Saccharomyces cerevisiae S288C: one gene and its partner. The protein of the gene in region 1 binds, or shares a complex with, the protein of each later gene. Each region holds a gene or a part of one and is shown in the gene's direction. Other genes may lie near its edges. The genes, in order: MDY2 and SGT2.

The links.
Region 2: the proteins of MDY2 (region 1) and SGT2 are in contact, whole or in part, in an NMR structure (PDB 4ASW), measured with the Saccharomyces cerevisiae proteins. Residues at the interface, in NP_014530.1 of Saccharomyces cerevisiae: Gln82 (codon at 1,933), Lys118 (codon at 2,041), Leu120 (codon at 2,047), Gly123 (codon at 2,056), Lys124 (codon at 2,059), Val125 (codon at 2,062), His127 (codon at 2,068), Met147 (codon at 2,128), Lys149 (codon at 2,134), Asn151 (codon at 2,140); in NP_014649.1 of Saccharomyces cerevisiae: Asp28 (codon at 1,905), Gly29 (codon at 1,908), Asp31 (codon at 1,914), Ser32 (codon at 1,917), Asn34 (codon at 1,923), Val35 (codon at 1,926), Asp38 (codon at 1,935), Cys39 (codon at 1,938), Glu42 (codon at 1,947), Arg48 (codon at 1,965).

Annotation. Positions count from the first base shown.
Region 1 is NC_001147.6:107,523-110,585, reverse strand, and holds MDY2 (Mdy2p), read left to right. Parts: upstream 1-1,689; coding exon 1,690-2,328; downstream 2,329-3,063. Other genes in the region: ZEO1 (Zeo1p), read right to left, coding at 1-289; SHR5 (Shr5p), read right to left, coding at 697-1,410; Rab GTPase-activating protein MSB4, read right to left, coding at 2,398-3,063. UniProt on the Saccharomyces cerevisiae protein: Required for efficient mating. Involved in the production of alpha-factor, the KAR9 and TUB1 location to the shmoo tip and nuclear migration into pheromone-induced shmoos.
Region 2 is NC_001147.6:338,205-341,801, reverse strand, and holds SGT2 (Sgt2p), read left to right. Parts: upstream 1-1,823; coding exon 1,824-2,864; downstream 2,865-3,597. Other genes in the region: SLG1 (Slg1p), read left to right, coding at 1-524; ribosome biogenesis protein TSR3, read left to right, coding at 3,181-3,597. UniProt on the Saccharomyces cerevisiae protein: Co-chaperone that binds to the molecular chaperone Hsp70 (SSA1 and SSA2). Regulates Hsp70 ATPase activity. Required for recovery from heat shock.

The DNA of each region.
Region 1 (3,063 bases):
CCTTCTTGGTTTCCTTCTTCTCACTGACGGCGGCGGAAGCTTGCTTCTTAGTTTCTTCAACTTTGTTGGCAGCTTCGGTCTTCTTTTGTTCGACACCATCAGCAATGTTTTGTTCTTCCTTCTTCACCTGTTCAGCTTCTGGAGTAGCTTCATTTTTTAGGTTGTCGATAGAAGCTTCAGCTTGTTCCTTTACTTCTTGGCCCTTGTTTTGCAAAGATTCTTTGGTTTCTTCCAACTTTTGTTGGACATCTTGGGCGGCAGTTTCAGCTTTGTTTTGAATTTCAGACATTATTAATTGATATAAACGTAGTTTTGTATGTTTCTTTGATTTGAACTTTTAAGTATACAGAGAAAAAAACCGATCAAAGAAAACTAAAGTATAATGAGGTTAAAAACGAAAGTAATAAAGTAGAAAGGCTATCAAGCAAACTGAGATGATCTTCGACGTAAAAACTCGCTCTATATATATACGCCATATAAGCCCATCGGCGATGGGGGACAACACGAAGAAACAAGAGAAGAGGAGAACCGCACAGAAAGCAGCAGAAACAGAGCAAACCAGCATTAACTAAAGATGATAAAAATAAAATTAGGTAAGAAACCTTAATTGGATATACAAAAATACACTGGAGGCACAAATCGCCATCGATATAAAACACGATAAAGCCCTGGTGCACCCATAAACCACACGTTTAACTATTTGGGTCGGGGCACGACGAAATCTAGGGATAGGCACCCGGACCGTCGGGGCAATACTAGGCGCACACCGCGCTCGTGAAGCAGACCTCCCGGCGAGTTTAGCTGCGCCACGTACTGCTCTAACGCGAGAGACTCCTGAAACACAGGTCTAGAAAGAAGGGGCCCCAAAACCCAGCTCCACAGACCGCCCGTAAGCATATCGAGCAACAGGCCACTTAAGTTACGCCACCCGAACACCTCACCTTCTTCACGCAGCAAGAATCCGTTTACCCGGTGCACAACCTCCGCGAGCTCTGCCGCACTAAGATATTCTGACAGAGGCGAGACGGAGGAGCAGCCAAACACGTGATCCCCAATGTCGTAACGCCCGCACCGCACAAAGCTAGTGCCATCGTCGCCCACGATTGCCGCCGGCTCGCTACCGGGAAGCTGTGTACTAAATTGTGGCGTTTCAAGGCTGCTGCGAGACTCATCGAACCGCCGGGGCACTCGTACCACCCGGGTCACCTGGAACTCGGCAGAGCCCCGAGCAGCATACACATTCGGGAAATGTGTAATACACAATTTGTGGTCTTCGTCGTGCTCTGTGGGTTTAGCGTCTTCGGAACCGAGGTCTTCGTAGAATGAATACGAAAACTCATGGTAATTAAAAAATAACGCCCTTTCGCTCGTATTTGCGTTATCTTCTTCCTTTTGATGGCTATCGCACATCTAGTAAGGGTTAGATTGAGTATTGTCCTCTAATGTAACTTTTTCCTCTTATTCCTCTCCTCCCCTTAGCTATTATATATCTTTTTTACCGAATCTTGAATTAGGAATAGTTTTAAAATCAGGCCGGAGGCCGAGCTTGCGACAACTACGACCAAAAAAAACAAAGGAAAAACGAAAAGAAGAAAACATGCACAGGAGAACATAGTTGGAGAAAAGGGTTAGAACAGACCGATACAGAGATAAACTAGCGAAGAATAATAACTTTATACAAAATTAATCATGAGCACATCCGCCAGCGGTCCAGAACACGAGTTCGTTAGTAAATTCTTGACCTTAGCCACTTTAACTGAACCGAAGCTACCAAAAAGCTATACTAAACCTCTGAAGGATGTTACCAATTTGGGTGTCCCGTTGCCTACTTTGAAGTATAAATATAAGCAGAATCGTGCCAAGAAGTTAAAACTGCACCAAGATCAGCAAGGTCAAGACAACGCCGCCGTCCACTTAACCTTAAAGAAAATTCAAGCTCCCAAGTTCTCCATCGAGCATGATTTCAGCCCATCAGATACTATCTTACAAATAAAACAGCACTTGATCAGCGAGGAAAAGGCCTCCCACATAAGCGAGATAAAACTGCTTTTGAAGGGCAAAGTCCTCCACGATAACCTGTTCTTATCGGATTTGAAGGTCACGCCTGCCAATTCCACAATCACAGTCATGATTAAGCCGAATCCGACTATATCTAAGGAACCCGAAGCCGAGAAATCCACTAACTCCCCTGCTCCTGCTCCTCCACAGGAACTCACTGTGCCCTGGGATGATATCGAGGCTCTTCTGAAGAACAATTTCGAGAACGATCAGGCTGCGGTTAGGCAAGTCATGGAGCGTCTACAAAAAGGCTGGTCTCTGGCCAAATAAGATTAGTATAGTTAGTACGTACATACTTGTTATTTTACACAGTTGCGCTTTTTATCACGGTTGCGCTTACTATTTTCTTCTTTCCTTTGGGCGGCTACTCGCCCTTTGTCTATTTCTCGCCATCGCCACATACTCTCTACCGCGATCAATCTTTTCCTGGGTAATACCATTCAACGCAACCTTCTTCTTCATCAGGACTTTCTCAAAGATATCATTCGGATTGAGCAATCTTTTTGGGAAATTTTGAATCACTTGCAAAATCTCCATATCTGCCTCTTCCTGCGTCTTAATCTTGTTCTTTAATCTTTTGAAAGTTGAATCAGAGTCATTACTACCACCGAAGGTGTACGAAGAGTACTGTCTAAACAGTTTCTGGCTTTTACTCTCCAAAAACTCGCTTTCGCTCAATTTCAGTATCCCCAAAGCCACTTTAAATAAAAAATGAGACTCTTCATAGAATAAACAGTCCCATATTCTCAGGGTCGTTTCGATGGGCACCACGCCCACAAAACAGCTCATAAACCAACTTGCCGTACACAGCGTCAGCGTAGGCAGCCTGCAGAGATATTCTTCCCCCGATGCTGGCCCTGATATCTGGTCAGTGCTGCCATTGCCATTCATATACGATGACTCAATGTGTGACCATATCTCGGGTAAATATTCCTTGATACATAACACCAACACCCCTTGATCCACGTTCGCACCCTCTAAGTCTGATTCATACACGCCAGGTAA
Region 2 (3,597 bases), 230 kb from region 1:
CACAGGACGCCACTTCGATAATCTATTCCACTACTTTTCACACTGAGGGCGGTTCCACAATTTTTGTCACGAACACCATCACGGCAAGTGCACAGAATTCAGGATCGGCCACAGGTACAGCTGGATCTGACTCTACGAGTGGAAGTAAAACTCATAAAAAGAAAGCCAATGTAGGGGCAATTGTAGGCGGCGTTGTAGGTGGTGTAGTGGGAGCCGTAGCCATTGCTCTTTGTATCTTGTTGATTGTCAGACACATTAATATGAAGCGGGAACAAGACAGGATGGAAAAGGAATACCAAGAGGCGATAAAACCAGTTGAGTACCCTGATAAACTATACGCCTCTTCATTTTCATCTAATCACGGGCCCTCTTCAGGTAGCTTCGAGGAGGAGCACACCAAAGGGCAAACTGATATTAACCCTTTCGACGACTCAAGGAGAATAAGTAACGGAACATTCATAAATGGCGGACCAGGAGGGAAAAACAACGTTTTAACAGTGGTCAATCCAGACGAAGCTGATTGAAGAAACCCAAAAAAAATTATTATATTCTTAAACTATTGCCAAGCAAGTCTTGTTCCTTCCCATTAATTTTTTCTTTTTCCGATTTCATTTTGCCAAATCATCTCCATTTTCACATTATGATGATCCTCTAAAAATTCATACATTTCGAATTTGAGAGCTGGAGAGCTGGAAGTAACGAGGAACATTAAATAGGAACAACAAAATTAGATTAGTTATTTTTTTTTCTACTCATTAATTTTTTTATGATATATTTGAATACCAACCTTAACTTAGTTACATAGATTTAACAAACATTAAACATGTTAATTCTTTGAAATGAATACCACCTAATAAAACTATACATTTTCAAAATAACAAATTGTTATGAAACTAATAGCTAATTATCTTCTAGTGACAATAACCACTTTACTAGAAATTATTAAAAAAATACCGCGTTGAAAGACGATATAAAGTAGGAGATTAATAAATTTATATTCATATTTTCTTCAATCTAATGAAATTGAAGCGCAAGGATTGATTATGTGATAGGATGCGTGAGTAGTAATGCATGAAAAAGGAGGAAGACGTGATTATAATATATGATGTAAAATTTTGATTCCATTTTGCGGATTCCTGTATCCTCGAGGAAAGACCTCTGGCATATTATATAGGGATATTATTCCTTTACAAAAAATGGAATGAAAGAATCAAAACAAAATTGTCATGTTTGCACAATTGCGTATACCATTGCATATAATTATGTCGAAAATCATCAATATGTATGGGAATGATCATTCCATTTTTTTCACACTGGCATAATAATTTGAATATAATAATAATGGATGATGGGCATTATTGGGAAATAAAACTATGAAATTTGCTTTTAGTACGTGTATCGATAAATATCTCTAATTTTCTCAAGATCTGTTCCTCGTGGCCCAATGGTCACGGCGTCTGGCTACGAACCAGAAGATTCCAGGTTCAAGTCCTGGCGGGGAAGATTTTTTTTAACATTGAATAGAAATTACAAAGGTCTTTTATGCTATTTTAAAGGGCTATAGGCGGCATAATATTTGCTTTTAACCTTATTGTCATGACATTCTAATCACAACACTTAGCCCTTCTTTTGTATTTTTCCAAACTTTTTCAAGTCTTAAAATTTTCCCAATCGAAAAAAATGGAAGATCCGAGAAGGTTTTATTGCCCTACGCTTAATCCCAAATTTTGCCACCATATAAAATGAGTACGAGCGATATAATCGGACAACTGAATAGAAGCTTCTGACCAAGTGATATCTTATTAATACAAATCTACTGTACGATGTCAGCATCAAAAGAAGAAATTGCTGCCCTTATTGTAAACTACTTTTCTTCCATTGTGGAAAAGAAAGAAATTTCAGAAGATGGCGCCGATTCTTTAAATGTTGCTATGGACTGTATCTCTGAAGCCTTTGGCTTTGAAAGAGAAGCTGTTTCAGGCATTTTAGGCAAGTCTGAATTCAAGGGTCAACATCTTGCTGATATATTAAATTCTGCGTCAAGAGTTCCAGAATCGAATAAGAAAGACGATGCTGAGAATGTCGAGATTAATATTCCAGAAGATGATGCGGAAACTAAAGCCAAAGCTGAGGACTTGAAAATGCAAGGTAATAAAGCAATGGCCAACAAGGATTACGAACTGGCAATCAATAAATATACTGAAGCCATTAAAGTTTTACCAACGAATGCTATTTATTACGCCAATAGAGCGGCTGCTCATTCATCCCTGAAAGAATATGATCAAGCGGTCAAAGACGCTGAATCTGCAATTTCTATTGACCCATCTTATTTCAGAGGCTACTCTAGATTGGGTTTTGCTAAATATGCGCAAGGTAAACCCGAAGAAGCCCTTGAAGCATACAAAAAGGTTCTTGATATAGAGGGCGATAATGCAACAGAAGCTATGAAAAGGGATTATGAAAGTGCCAAGAAGAAGGTTGAGCAATCTTTGAATCTGGAGAAAACCGTTCCAGAACAGTCAAGGGATGCTGATGTCGATGCAAGTCAGGGTGCTAGTGCGGGTGGATTGCCAGATCTTGGTTCTTTATTAGGAGGTGGTCTTGGAGGTTTAATGAACAACCCACAATTGATGCAGGCTGCGCAAAAAATGATGAGCAATCCAGGTGCAATGCAGAATATTCAAAAAATGATGCAAGATCCAAGTATCAGACAGATGGCTGAAGGCTTTGCTTCAGGCGGAGGAACTCCAAATTTGTCTGACTTGATGAATAACCCAGCACTCAGAAACATGGCAGGCAATCTTTTTGGTGGAGCAGGTGCCCAATCTACAGATGAAACACCAGACAATGAGAACAAGCAATAGTGGACTGAAATAAGCCTTTAATGCAATACATGTTATGTAGATACAAATATAGCTCTATCTAGGATGAGTGTTACCAGGAATTTTATTTTTACTTTGAGATCACTTGCGAAATACTTAAATAGGGACTGTAGTTTACTTTTTCTTTTTTTCAGGTAAATTCGTCGATTTTCGGAGAAGACTAGAAAATATAATGTGATGAGAAACTACATAAAAAAATTTTTACTAGTAAATGTCTATTTGAAATACTTTATCGAAAAGCTTTTTATGTAAATCTGTATAGAACTTCTCGCGTAAGACAGTTGAGTAAGCAGTAACAATGGGAAAAGGTAAAAATAAGATGCACGAACCCAAAAATGGAAGACCACAGAGAGGCGCTAATGGGCACAGTTCCAGGCAAAACCATAGGCGCATGGAAATGAAGTACGATAATTCAGAAAAAATGAAGTTTCCTGTTAAACTGGCTATGTGGGATTTTGATCATTGCGATCCAAAGAGATGCAGTGGTAAAAAACTTGAAAGGTTGGGCTTAATTAAATCATTGAGAGTTGGACAGAAATTTCAAGGTATTGTCGTTTCGCCAAACGGCAAAGGTGTTGTTTGCCCTGATGATCTAGAAATTGTCGAACAACACGGCGCTTCGGTGGTCGAGTGTTCTTGGGCACGTTTAGAAGAGGTACCCTTCAATAAAATAGGCGGTAAGCACGAAAGGCTGCTGCCGTATTTAGTGGCCGCT